2 linked regions of the Astyanax mexicanus genome follow. The protein of the gene in region 2 binds, or shares a complex with, the protein of the main gene of each other region. Links are inferred from orthologs where the notes say so. Each region holds a gene or a part of one and is shown on either strand. Other genes may lie near its edges.

The links. The genes of interacting proteins can lie anywhere in the genome.
Region 1: the proteins of tnfsf13b (region 2) and tumor necrosis factor receptor superfamily member 17 are in contact, whole or in part, in a crystal structure (PDB 1OQD), measured with the Homo sapiens proteins. The link is inferred for Astyanax mexicanus from reciprocal best matches to the Homo sapiens genes TNFSF13B and TNFRSF17. Residues at the interface, in NP_006564.1 of Homo sapiens: Ser162, Tyr163, Lys204, Thr205, Tyr206, Ala207, Met208, Gly209, His210, Arg231, Cys232, Ile233, Glu238, Pro264, Arg265, Glu266, Asn267; in NP_001183.2 of Homo sapiens: Tyr13, Asp15, Ser16, Leu17, Leu18, His19, Ile22, Arg27, Ser29, Ser30, Asn31, Thr32, Pro33, Pro34, Leu35.

What each region holds. Positions count from the first base shown.
Region 1 is NC_064422.1:23,727,422-23,734,767, reverse strand, and holds the start of tumor necrosis factor receptor superfamily member 17, read right to left. Parts: upstream 3,271-7,346; 5' UTR 3,175-3,270; coding exon 3,012-3,174; intron 1,774-3,011; coding exon 1,630-1,773; intron 1-1,629. UniProt on the Homo sapiens protein: Receptor for TNFSF13B/BLyS/BAFF and TNFSF13/APRIL. Promotes B-cell survival and plays a role in the regulation of humoral immunity. Activates NF-kappa-B and JNK.
Region 2 is NC_064418.1:9,596,216-9,603,587, forward strand, and holds the start of tnfsf13b (tumor necrosis factor ligand superfamily member 13B), read right to left. Parts: upstream 3,284-7,372; 5' UTR 2,940-3,283; intron 2,816-2,939; 5' UTR 2,711-2,815; intron 2,598-2,710; 5' UTR 1,986-2,597; coding exon 1,713-1,985; intron 558-1,712; coding exon 452-557; intron 1-451. Other genes in the region: protein ABHD13, read right to left, coding at 6,626-7,372. UniProt on the Homo sapiens protein: Cytokine that binds to TNFRSF13B/TACI and TNFRSF17/BCMA. TNFSF13/APRIL binds to the same 2 receptors. Together, they form a 2 ligands -2 receptors pathway involved in the stimulation of B- and T-cell function and the regulation of humoral immunity.

The DNA.
Region 1 (7,346 bases), on a different chromosome or scaffold from region 2:
AAAATGTAAAGACCACTTCAGTTTCTTAATCAGTTTCTCTGATTTTGCTATTTATAGGGATATGTTTGAAAATGTACCTATATATATATTATAAAATATACATTTATAAAATATATAAAAATATTGTTATATAGAGCATTTATTTGCAGAAAATGAGAAATGGCTGAAATAACAAAAAAGATGCAGAGCTTTCAAATCTCAACCAATGCAAAGAAAACAAGTTCATATTTATAAAGTTTTAAGAGTTCAGAATTAAATATTTGGTGGAATAACCCTGGTTTTTAATCACATTTTTCATGCATCTTGGCATGTTCTCCTCCACCAGTCTTACACACTGCTTTTGGATAACTTTATGCCACTCCTGGTGCAAAAGTTCAAGCAGTTCAGCTTGGTTTGATGGCTGTGAACATCCAGTATTCTCTTGATTATATTCCAGAGGTTTTCAATTTGGTAAAATCAAAGAAACATAATTTTTAAGTGTCCTCTTATTTTTTTCAGAGCTGTATATATCATACAACAATTTTCAACAGATCTACAGAAGATTTTTGGAAGAAAATAGAAAGGAAATAAATATTTTCCTTGTTAGAAAAAGCATATTACACATTATTAGTATACCACTGTGATATATTACATATTTTGAAAAAAATAATTTTGTCCAATATTATTAACAAAATACCCATATTAAATATAAAATTATGGTCTGCAACCAAGACTGAAAACACACTACAGTAAAGGGTGTGTAGAACACTGTTGTAGAAAAGAAAATGAAAGGTGGGCTACCCCCACCTCTCGTCCGGGGTACAACTTCCCCTGCGTGTTCGTTTGATAGAGAGAGTCAGACAGGTGGAGTGAAGCTGAAAGCAAACCAAGTATTTATTACAAAGTACTGAATATTCAGGAGAACCAATACATATAAGACAGTGTTACAGCCGTCTAAGTAAGAGTTCTGACCCCCTCTGATCTGACTCCATGTTTTATACCCAAAATGACGTAAGCCTGTTGATGAGGCGTTGTTAAAATCATCTCATGTTAGCATGCACGTGTTAATACTGAAGTTTCACGTGTCTGACTGGACCACTAGTGTTTGACCTTGACTGTATTCTTCCAGAATGGAACCTCATGGCACTATCTGTGTGTGTGCGTCACCCCCCGCTTTGAAGTAGAGGTTTTTTAGGGAGGCACTCACTGACCAAAAGGCTGCTTTGATCTAATAGCCTTTTTGTAGCAAATTAGCCCCGTACCAGTCGAATTGATGACCGTTAGTTAGGGTCATGCAGTAAAACAAAATACTTCAAGCCTGAGCTACATCTCATATGTTATATGTTAATGTGGGTTAATCTGTCATATAATAAAGTCTGTGTTAGTCACATGCCATATCAAACAATGTTTTACTATATGTGTAAAGGATATATTGTGATTATTGGTTAATCTTTTATATAAATGCGTGTAAAATACACTGTGAGTAAAAATGATCAAATATAATGTGAGTATTGGTTAATGCCTATAAAATACAAGGTTTCACACAATAATTATGTAATTATAGATACTAAGATAAGTAATCATTATTGAAAGATATTTGTCAATACACTCAAGGTAAAATAAACCGTTACTCTTTAACACTCTCTATACCTTTAGCTATGAGGACGTGCTTACAGGCCTTCCTACGAATGACCGTCAGGATTCCCATCAGCGCCAAACAAGTGCCGAGAAACACAATAAGCACTATGAGGATTATACGTGCATTCTGGTTTTCTCCAGCTTCTTTCTTCCCAGCTGTATAAGACACACAAACACACATTTATTCACACATTCACAATTTCTGTCCTATTAATTAATGTGACCATTGATTATAGGAGAGATGTTTATTAGTCACAACTGACTGAAACTCTGCTGCATTTCTGTAGTGTTCAGCCATATCTGTCCTCTCTTGATTTTTGCATAATTGTCACATGCACTGGTTTCACATAACACTTAGTGGTATACTTCTGATACTACATTATGTAATAGGACATCTGTCACACTAAACAGTATAATAAAAAAAGGTTTTAACACCAATATACAGTACCAGTCAAAAGTTTGGACACACTTCTTCTCATTCAATGTGTGTTTTTCTTTCTTTTTATGATTTTTTATATTGTAAAATTAATATTGAAGACTATATTAAAGCTATACAGAAACATATGCAGAATTATTTTGTGTTAAACAAACCAGAATATGTTTTATGCTTAAGATTCTTCTATGTAGCACATTTAGCTTTAAGGACAGATCTGCACACTCTTGGTATTTTAATCTCAATGTCTTCATGAGGTAGAGTCACCTGGAATAGTTTTCTCATCCTCTTAAAGGAGGTCCTGGAGGTTCCTCCAAACTGTGGTCCAGCTCACCCATATCAGTTGGGTTAAGATCAGGGGATTGTGGAGGATAAACACTTTTTTGTTTACTACATAATTCCATATGTGTCACTTAATTGTTTAAATGTATTTACTATTAGCAAATACATCAAATAAGGAAATGAAGAAAAACATTGAATGAGAAGGTGTGTCCAAACTTTTGACTGGTAATATATGCCCCATGTTAAGGCCTAATCATTCCCCAAACCACAAAACTTGCCACCTTCTGTTATCCTCAGAATTTACTTACATTCTATAATCCTTAAGTCAGTTTGACCCCAAAATATACACCTCCAAAAAATATTATAATTATTAAACCTGTTAGCAAAGTTTAAGCATCAGATCATTATTCCATCCTAATTTTATTTACCTGTTTGGCCTCTATAATTTAGAAAAAAAGATATTAGACGTTAAACACAAAATTAAACTGTGTTAAACACTCAATAGGATCAATTAAATTACCTCAAAGATAATTGGAGGGTTACATTTTTACTCTGCTAATGATTTTATATCATATGGTCCATTACATGCAATAAGGCCATCATAAACATTAACCTGTCACAGCATCACAAAGCCTATAGCTACTAAATCATTTATCAGCGCACGAACAGGCGTACTTACAGGAGGAAGGCCTACAATACGTGGTGCAGTCGGGTGGAGGAGAGTTGCATCTCTTGGAGCAGTGCTGACAGTTCTCCATAAGTTTATCAGGATAGAAATTGGGTTCACATTTGCCCTCAGCTATGGCAGCGATATAAAGGAAAAGCCATAAGTAGAGGATCATCTTTCAGCGAGGGCTGTGAATCGATCCTAATCTCGAGAAAACAGTATTTATATTTGCAGTATGTAAATAATCGCTGAGGAAGGGGAAGTCCCTGTACAGTTGAACAAACTCATCCTAAAGTTCAGTTTTTTTTTAACCTGAGAGATGTTCAAGTAAAGTCTCATGATTACTCTTCTCCTCTTTTCTGCTGTTCTTCTTCTTTGCACTCTCATGATGATTCAAAGCACGAGAGATACTGACGTATTGTTAGCTTACTGATACTTTACACTTTACTCCTGAGATCCCGAAAAAAATATTTTAATATTCATATTCTCTGGAAAAAAAATAAGAGACCACTTAAAAATTATGATTTTCTTAAATTTTACCAAATTAAAAACCTCTGGAATATAATCAAGAGGTAGATGGATGATCACAAGCCATCAAACCAAGCTGAACTGCTTGAATTTTTGCACCAGGAGTGGCATAAAGTTATCCAAAAGCAGTGTGTAAGAATGGTGGATGAGAACATGCCAAGATGCATGAAAACTGTGATTAAAAACCAGGGTTATTCCACCAAATATTAATTTCTGAACTCTCAAAACTTTATGAATATGAACTTCTGAAAAGGTCAGAAAGCTCTGCATCTTTTTTGTTATTTCAGCCATTTCTCATTTTCTGAAAATAAATGCATCTACATTTAGGGTGGTCTCTTTTTTTTCAGAGCTTTACGTCCCTTGTAGCGAACTGTGGCTATATTGCTTGGTCTCAAAATGTAGGGGTTGTATTAATTTTCAAGTCTTTTCCTGATTTTCCAAGGAAATCTGTGGTTGGAAATGGTAAAAAAAATGTATACTAATATCTTACAAAACTGGAAAATCTCATTTTAAAGAAACAAATTGATTATTAGCAACACCAGCAAAATATCTAAAAATATATCACATCCCTCCCCCCTTGCGATTTGAAAAGAAAGTATCTGTGCTCTGTTGGCCACACCCCCACAAGTGGGCCTAGTTGGAAATCCCAGGATGTCCTTTTGACTGTACAGTTGAAACAGAGTGCATACAGAGTTTTACTAGTAGGTTAAAGTACCAATCAAAAGTTTGGGCACACCTCTTCTTATCTAATGTGTTTTCTTTCTTTTTATGATTTTTTTTATTGTAATTTTAATATTGAAGATATTAAATCTGTACAGGAGCACAACTAAGCTTTGAGGACAGATCTGCACTCTTGGTATTTTAATATCAGTGTCTTCATGAGGTAGAGTCTCCTGGAATTTTTTTTCAGCCTCTTGAAGGAGTTCCTTGATTAGCAACTCCAACAATATTTTTTAATATAATTTTATATGTGTCCTTTAATTGTTTTCATGTCTTGAACATTAATCTACAATATCTTGACTGATACAGTATGTTCACTACCGTGGACAAAATAATTGGTATATCTCAGAAGGATTTGTACAGTCAGCAAGTAATGCTTTCCAATAGCATAATACATTCTAATACTATAAGGATTTGATATACTTACAATAGACAATAAAAGAGGTACCAGATAGCTTCACTGTGATTCTTTAATACCCAAATAAAACTGTATATTTTAATATAAATATTATTACATTTTCATTTAGAAATAAACTGCCATAGTCAACACAGCACTCACATAATTAGAACACAATCAACATTAGCATACAGAAATGATCAGGGTCCTCTCAAACATTTATTTTACAGTGTCACACTGTTCTGAATTCCTTTTGCTCACTCTTAACCATATACTTCTTACCAACTACAGGTGTGAAAATACTCTTACATTAGTCCATGATATCTCCTTCAGCCAAATAATGACATCTAAAAGCAGTAGTTAGTTTAATCAGGGAAGGTAAATTTGAAATGGATCAAACATGGATAACTAATACCCTAAAAGATCATGGTTAAAACTCACTAACTAACTCAACAGCCCATGTGGCAAACACAAGGCCAGTGGAGTCGTAAAATTATTTAGGTATTCTATTAATATTGAGTTTATTCATAAAAATTCCCAGTATCCACTGCAATGTAACAATAATAAAAAAAACGGAGTGTCTATTTGCACCCGGGTGCAAATAGCACGTGCCACACAGCAAGGCTATTTTCACCCCTTAATTAAAAAAAAAAGAAAGAGAACTCATCTGCGCATGTCTACCAATGAATGCGAGGGAGCGAAAAGGCGCAAATTCACAGATGGGGAAACGGAGACCATAGGAAATGGTAAGCAGAATTTGGTTATTATTTATGTACAAAAGGCCCATCACTCAATTTAACTCTACATTTTAAGATAAATATTTAAGACAGAGTGTGAGAATTATTATCTATCGAACACTGTTGACTGAAAACGAATAAGCTAAGCTAGTGTTTTGGTGGATCTCAGTTTAAGTTATTTGATTGAATTAAAGTTTGAGGCAGTTAGGTAACTTGTATCTAACCTTATCTTAGTTATTAAGTAAAAAGTTTTGTATTTTGTTGCTTATTCTGATTAATTTAGCTAGCTAGCTAGCTTATTGCTGGCTAGTACAGAGCCCGGGAGGGGCCGTGGGTAAAAAAAAATAATTAAATCGAGCGAACGATGTAGCAGTTCATGCCAACAATTTCTCTAATTCGTGCGAACGATTTCTTTTATTCCAGCGAACGATTAAGCCAACTCTTATTTCTAGTTCATGCATGCACAGGCAGGATAAACACAGTCTCCGGCGATGTTCATGCCTTCTGCGGTGGCGTTTTAGGGCAACTCTTAATTAGAGAATAAAGTCTAATATAACGAGATTAAAGTCGTAATATTACGAGATTAAAGCCGCAGTATTTTGATTTTAATTGTAACTGCTTGGCCTGCAGCGCAGGGAACGGAGGGAAAAGAGCACATACCGTCAGTTAGAAACGTAGATAAATGACGGTGATCTCAGGATCTCATAACAGATCATGCATGATCACCGTCAGTTATCTACGTTTCTAACCTGCTTAATATTAATGTTCTAGTGTTACAGCTTTCGGCTCTGCGCTGCGAGATTCCTCTGTGCAGGGAGAGCGCGCGGCGCGACACGGAGGCTTTCCACCGCATTTTAGTTTTTGCTACCAAACGAACATAAATACAGTAAATTCCAGTCATGAATAAAGGAAATAAACCTTTTACTGAAACAACATCTGTGAATTTGCGCCTTTTCGCTCCCTCGCATTCATTGGTAGACATGCGCAGATGAGTTCTCTTTCTTTTTTTTTAATTAAGGGGTGAAAATAGCCTTGCTGTGTGGCACATGCTATTTGCACCCGGGTGTATGCAGCAGTGTGTGCTATTTGCACCCGGGTGTATGCAGCAGTGTGTGCTATTTGCACCCGGGTGCAAATAGCACACACTGCTATGTACACCCGGGTGCAAATAGCACACACTGCTATGTACACCCGGGTGCAAATAGCACACACTGCTGCATACACCCGGGTGCAAATAGCACACACTGCTGCATACACCCGGGTGCAAATAGCATGTGCCTAAAAAAAAACAGTAGTTGTTGTTGAAACAAAGTGTTGCCAATTTAACTGCTTTTCAGACCCCTCTATTTTCCTCAGAAAGTAATCTCAAGAATGAATTAAAACATTAAATAAAAATACAAATTTAAATATTAATATCAAATATCATATATATGCATTATATATACAGCTCTGGAAAAAAATATTAGACCACTTTAAAATAATCAGTTTCTCTGATTTAACTATTTATAGGTATATGTTTGAGTAAAATAAACATTGTTGTTTTATTCTATAAACTACTGACAACATTTATCCCAAATTCCAAATAAAAATATTGTAATTTAGAGCATCTATTTGCAGAAAATCTTATTTGCTTTCAAAAATTCAAAGAAACTAAGTTTATACTCATTTAGAAACAACAATATTAAAGTTTTAACTAAGGAAGAGTTTAGAATCAATATTTGGTAGAATAACCAAGATTTTTAATCACAGCTTTCATGTGTCTCGAAATGCTCTCCACCAGTCTTTCACACTGCTTTTGGGTGATCTTACGCCACTCCTGGCTTCAAGCAGTTCAGCTTTGTTTGATGGCTTCTGGTCATCTATCTTCTTCTTGATTACATTCCATAGGTTTTCAGTAGGGAGTGGAATAAGGTCACCCAAAAGCAGTGTGTAAGACTGGTGGAGAACAACATGCCAATGTGCATG
Region 2 (7,372 bases):
AAAAAAAAAAAAAGATCATGGATTATTTTTTATTTTTTTTATATTGACATTTCCCTGTATTTTTTAGGAGAGAGACTGTAATAATGGTGTAGTGTGGTTTAGGTCTGGCAGAATAGAGTCTTTATTTTTACTGCATCATAATATCTCAGGAAAGAGAGGAAGAGAGAAAGCTAGAGAGATTGAGAGAGAGCGAGAGAGCGAGAGAGAGAGAGAAAGAGAGAGATATACTTTAAAGTATCTGCACGTTTAAGTATCATCAATAAGCACAGACTGATACCCAGTCCTATTGACATAATAAAGACGCACTTCTTAGACAATGCTCGTTCATTTACAGTAATAATATTAAAACTATACATATATAACTACACTAATAATACTAAAACTATAGTCAGGGTAAGTGCAGCTCTGGAAGTCCCCTGCACAGCTGAACAAACAGCAGAAAGGGGCTTGCCTGATTGACCTGACTCACTTCCCAGACTTCTCTTCTTTAAGCTTGGCTGATCCTGCTGCCCCCCAGAAACACTCATCTCCAGCTCAGTGGGCACCACACTGCTAGTCTGCAGCAAGAGAAGAACAAATAAAAGGCAGTAGAGTCAGACATTAGAGCACTTCAACATGTTTACCCTGCTGTCCTCGTTTCTGTGCACTCTCTCCACATTTGGCACGTTTATATATATATAAGTAAAAGTATATAAGTATTCATACCCCTTAAACTTTTTCACATTTTGTCACCTTACAACCACAAACGTAAATGTATTTTATTTTAAAGTGATAAACCAACACAAAGTACTGCATAAGTGTGAGATGGAATGAAAATGATACATGACTTAAAATTAAAAATTAAAATTAAAATTTACACTAAAATCGACCTTTCAGTACTTTTTGGTGTTCTAATAGTGAGCTTTTGGATCATGTCTTTAATGCAGACTTTTGGCTCTTTAATGAAGGTGTGTAAGTGTGAAGGATACAACTATCAGACAACAATGGATATGCTCATACCTGTGTGGTATTAATCAGTCCATGTGACAGCAGTCTTGGCATTCAACTTTAATGAGAGTTGATTAAAAGGACAACCAATGACTGCAGTCATTTCCAGCAAACGATTAAGATCACAGAATAATTGTTTTTCTCTGTATGAATGGTAGTTTAAAAAATAGCTTGCATTTTCCAGCACCCCGAGCCAGGAAGATCATGACTAAAGTACAAGTAAAGGCAAACCTTCCAGGGTGAACTGATTTAACTTAGTATAAACACATTTTTTTGGATTATTACATTTCATTAAATTACTAAAAGCAATAATGAATAAGGAAATTAAATGTTCACTGGTGTTAATCCTAGTTTTTAAAAAAAAAAAATCCAATAAAAAAAGGATACCCTGAAAGACTTGTTGTGTAACATTTTGTACTTAGAATAAATGATTCTCCTGTTGTAGAGCCTTGTTCTAAAGCACAGCTACCTAATCCTGGTCCTGGAGTTCCCCGTGACCTACATATAACTATGTTGCTCTACTGTTAAGACCATATCTCCTTCAGCTCAGGAAATGGTTGTTTACTAAATGATTAGTTACATCACGCATGTTGGAGCTGGTAAACTACTCAAATGTGCTGGCCAAAAATATTCAACACTTCTAATAAGGAGTGAAAATATTTGACCTGGCCTGCCTTAGAGTCATGGATCTGCATGGCTTCTTTCCTTCAGCAGGTATTTCTCACCTCGGCTTTGTTCCGGTCATCCTCCTCCTCCTCCTGCTGCTGCTGCTGAGACTGAGCTCCTCTCACACCTTCATCCAGGGCACTCCTCTGCTCCTCTCGCCTGCGGCTCACCTCAGTCCTCAGCCCCTCCACCTCGGCCTGCAGAGCCAGCACATGGTACAGAGACAGAGCCGACAGGGAGGATGAGGTGATGGCAGCCAAGATCAGAAGAGCAACTGCCCAAGAGAGCCTCCGGCTCTCGGCCCGAGATGGAGCAACACCTGAAGCTGGCATTACAGTCTGAGGAACTCAATGTTCAGCTTCTACAGAGTTCCACTGCTTCAGAGTCCAGCTTCCTCAGCGTCCAGCTTCTTCAGCGTCCAGCTTCCTTAGCGTCCAGCTTCCTTAGTGTCCAGCTTCCTTAGCATCCAGCTTCCGTAGCATCCAGATTCTACAGAGTTTCACTGCTTCAGAGTCCAGCTTCCTCAGCGTCCAGCTTCTACAGAGTCCAGCTTCTTCAGCGTCCAGCTTCTACAGAGTTTATTATCTACAGAGTTCCACTGCTTCAGAGTCCAGATTCTTCAGAGTCCAGCTTCCTCAGCGTCCAGCTTCTACAGAGTTTATTATCTAGAGAGTTCCACTGATTCAGAGTCCAGCTTCTACAGAGTCCCGCTTCTTCAGCATTCAAGTCAGCCTCAAGTTAGGCCCGAGATGGAGCAACATCCAAAGCTGGCATTACAGTCTGAGGAACTCAATGTTCAGCTTCTACAGAGTCCAGCTTCTACAGAGTCCAGCTTCTACAGAGTCGAGTTCATCTTCTTCAGAGTCCAGCTTTAACAGAGAACAGTTTCTTCAGATTTCAGCTTCTTCAGCATCCAAGTCAGCTTTTTCAGAGTTCAGCTTCTGCTGTGCACAGAGAAATTTGGAAGACACAGTTTTTGACAAAGTTCATTTTTAGATCATTTGTTGTGGTTGTCAGTAAAAGGAAGTCTTTTGTGGCATGCAAATTATAAACCTACCCTCAGCACGAAGCCAAATGCATGAAGGCGCTTCACTCTCAAGTTCATTAAACCCTCTTTAGTTTCATGTCCTCTGGTTCAACTTTGGAATACATCTGTAAAAATCTGCATTTCATAATACACAGCCAACAGATTGGTCAACAATTTTATTCTAAACTCAGGTCCTGACAGATCTGATGACAATGCCTGCATCAGGACAGACTAACGAAAAACAAGTGAACAAACTTACCATAAAGTACTTTGAGGCTTTCCTATGAATAATTTAATTCTGGTCAGGTTCTTGTGCCCAGATGTATTCCTTGTATAAAGTGGCTGGACAGGGAACGCAGCAGAGCGTAGTGTCAGCGCCCTGCCTCTATTTCAAGCCGTTAACCAGCGCTGTGCAGCTTCCTGCCAAGCTTGCTTTCTCGTGCTCTCTCGCTCTCTCTCGCGCTCTCTTCCTCGCTCTACGCCTCTACGCCACCTTTCCATGCAGGTCTGCCAGAAAATGTGTAATAAATAAATAAATGCTCCAAAAAAAACACTCCAAACACAAAAGCACAAAAACAAAATGTAACCAAAAGCTCATTTCCAATGAAACAAAATGAAACTCATCTTATTACAGGAAAAATGCAATACAGGAACCAGACACAGCTTCAATATGGAAACACGCAAGCTTTCAGACGCAATATCAGAACCTGCGGCTTGGTTTCTTTATTGCACACAGAGAACAGAAACATGTGATGTGATTACAAACAAACCACAAGTATACTTTAAAAAATATCCACAGCTATATACATCAATGGTGTGAATTAAAGTGCAACAATTTGGCAAATATGACAGTATGAATCCATTGTCCACCACCCTTCATCTTTAAAAATAGAATATGGCAAAGATTAAATTGAAACTGATCAAGTGTAAAATTAGCTGGCAGTAAGTAGGCCAGTCACAAGAACTACATTTTTGGACAGTATATTTTACTTAGAACAATTGTAAATTGCAATAATATGCAAATGATATAACAAATGATATCACTGTCAATTTAATGCCACAAATTTTAAGCCACTGAATAACATAATAATGTAGTTACTCACCACTCACCTTTTAAAAGTACAACTCATTTATTCTAAATAATTTTCATCGTTAGTATATATTCAGACACTGGAATGGGAATTAAAAAAGAAATATTAAAAAAATACAGAATACTCCAGCCTAACAAGAGTCAGGACACCCTACCCCTAGAAATGCACAAGCAAAACAGAGGGGTAGAGCCAAGGGGTAAAATAGGATTTAGCCCATATAAGACTACTCCTATTTGCGTGATCAATAAGCTTCTAAGTAGGTGCCTTCACAGGACAGTCCTACTGAGGATCAGTCCCATTTCGCCCCACTGACGCCTAGGTTTTGGAACGCAGCCACTGAGTCCTTAAGGAAATTCATACTTTGCGAAGACACTATTGCCCAAAATCCAGTATCCCCTTCTTCAGCACTTAAAAATTCTATTATAATATTTCTTAAAAAAAAAAAAAGAGTAAAGAATGAAACAAACAACGATAGCTTCAATTCAAACACAGCCATCATCTGTGGTGCTAAACCTCCGCTACCAGTCCAGAATTTCTAAAGACTCCTCTAAAGAGCCATGAACATGAAATGCAGGCTATTTATAGGAAACTCAAAATAATATCAAAGAAACACATCAGTGACCACACTCCATCTGCAGCTCCTCAGAACATTTTCTCACTGTTGGATCTGACTCACTCCACCGGACTGCACATAAGCAGCCACATCCGTCCGATTCCATTACAAACACCGGCTCAGTAAGAAACAGCAACAATATTCCACAGCAGACACTCAACCTGAACACTGCATTATTGCTGAACAGAGATTATTTTGGTTGGAGGCTGCAAGTGTACATTCTTTAAAAAGTGCTCAACTCTTCCAAACATGACATAACAGTGGATCACATTCTGCCTGGATGTCAACAACATCCGCCCATTCAGTGCAGCCGATATAGAGATGGAAGATATGACTTCACTTGAGTGAAGCAGCAAATAATGCTTTTTATTCTATTGGTTATTAGGGTTGGGTATTGAAATTCTATAGCAAAAAAGGCAGCAACTGGAATGTTTCGGTACTACAAAAAAAAAAGTTAATAAATGGTGCTTCTTTTTGATACTTTGCATAAAACACCAAAAAGTAAAAGTGCAGACAATGAGGTAGAAAACCTGCAATGGAGAGCACACACAGAAACGCAGACAGTGAGGTAAACATGTGGAATTGCTCTAAAGTCTGAATCTACTTCCAAAGATTCATCCACACTTTTTTTTTTCCTCGTAAACTGTCACTGTGCTAAAGTTCTAGTCTGCCAGACCTAAACCACACTACACTATTATAGTTTAGTGTAATTAAACAGCATCCAGCAGGATGATTAGAGAAACATAGTTGTAGTTTATGCACAAGTAATGCTGTTTTATGTTTTTAATAAAGTGTATTCGTTACAACAAGATTCATGGAGACTCTGAAAGCAAGAGAATGAGATTATTCACATCGGCTTTTTGTTACAATTAAGAAAAAAATATGGAAAAAAAAGTATAATTTGGGTATCAATTTTTCTTTATGTGACTCATATAACTGGAATATTGGATAAAGGGAGCTAACAAATCATTCAATTCCACATATCTGACTTCTCCACCCGAATATACTCTAATGAAAAGAGTGAAACATTACATGCACTTCATGCCAAACAAACAACCGACAACAGGTACGACAATATCCTTCCATTACAAGTCTCATCGTTACAAAAGACCACATTTATAATGTTTCACAAATTAAGCCTGATTTTAATGTTGAATCATGCATATGAAAGACCTTACATTAACACATTCGCACTGACAAATACTTTCCAAATGCCTGCTTTGATTGGTTAGGCTTTAAATGACTGCACATATAAAAGGTCAATTCATTTTTTTGAGTGCTGGGCCACTCAAAACACTGAGAGGGTTCTTATTTGTTGTGTTTTAATGATGTCATTCTTAATGTGGCATCATGTATCTACAAGAAAAAACATATGTACCTGATGTGCAAATGATCTGCACTGTCAAGCCACTTTTTGGCTACATTTACTTTGTTATTATGTTAATAATAGGACATACGTCTGGACCCACTACTCCACTACAATATTCCAAGATTCAAAGTTGAATCATGCCTACCTTCTGCTCTGGGGGAAAAAAGTATATAAATTTAAGAACAACAAAGCAAACTTACACCATCATTCAGTTGCAACCTAGGAGGACTTCTACAAGGTAGATGATTCTCTGAGACAAATAAACAATTTCCTGAGCTGACATTGAAGCTCCATCTATAAGCAAAGAGAAGGTGGCAAAACCTGTTGCCAGTCCCAGTGGGCTTTGCATTTGAAAACAGAGCCCTTAGAATTTAGTGTTTCCAACAGTGAAGTGATGTTTACTGTTTGAAGGCAGTGAAGATGAAAAAGAAAAAAGTAAAAATAATAAAAAACTGACAAATATTTTACACTTTGCCTGACATTATTAGGCAAATATCTTTATTATACAGTAGGACTTGCAGTGAGTGGACATTTGGTGTATACCAATGATGGTAAAGTCCTTAAAGTATAAAAGAAAAGTCCTGTACAGTCAGAGTGAATGAGTGTGTGCAATCAAAACAAGGCTAAAGGGGCATTACATTACAGAAGCCGGTCATGCACTCGTATTTTAAACAAAACAGGGAAAATAAAGGTTTCAAAGGCATTTAACAATGCAACCTGCTCCAATCAAAAACCACATACTTGAAAGCGTAAATATCATACCACCAAATTAAGTGCTAAAAATGGGGAGAGGAAAGAAAGAGAAGAAGAGAGACATTTTTTTTTAAAATGTACATTCCATTACAGCAGCTCCAGTGGGCTCAGTCAATGTTCTAGATGATGGTGACACTGGCTGAGCCCTGGGATGTCTCCTCTTGGGCATGGCTTTTCAACAGTTCCTTCATGAACTGCTCCAGAGCTGCAAAGTAGCCCTGGCATTGCCAGGTGTCGTTGTGCGTGCCCTCTGGAAAGATGGCGAGGCGTTTAGTCCGTGCGGGCGACAGCTCATACAGCTGCTTCATCATGACGGGGGGAATGAGCTGGTCTGACAGGCCAGAAATGAAAAGAGAGGGCATGCGACACAGTGCCACGTGTCTGTAGGACAGAAATTTGTTCTTGTAGCACCAGAGGGGCAGGTAACGCATTGGAAAGAAGGAGAAGAGGGTCGCTGCCATGTGTGGGATGCTCAAGAAAGTGTTTTCGACCATGATGGCAGCCACACGGTGAGGGTTGACTGAGGCCAACCTTATGGCCACGGCGCCACCCAACGAACGCCCAAACAGTACCATCTTAGTCTTATCAATATCTGGTCGTGACATGATGTAGTCCAGGGTGGCCTCGGCGTCCTGATAAAGCCCCTCTTCACTGGGTTCTCCGTCACTCTTCCCATAACCTCGGTAGTCCACCAGAACTACGTTGGCCTTCAGGTTGACGAGCATGAGCAGGGCATTAGGAACTCGATGCCCAATGTTTCCTGCATTACCGTGAAAATACAAAATAGTGGGGGCAGAAGCAGGATTCTCGCCAGTGTAGCGGAGCAAGATCAGGTTCAGCCTCACACCGTCTTTAGTGCGTACGTA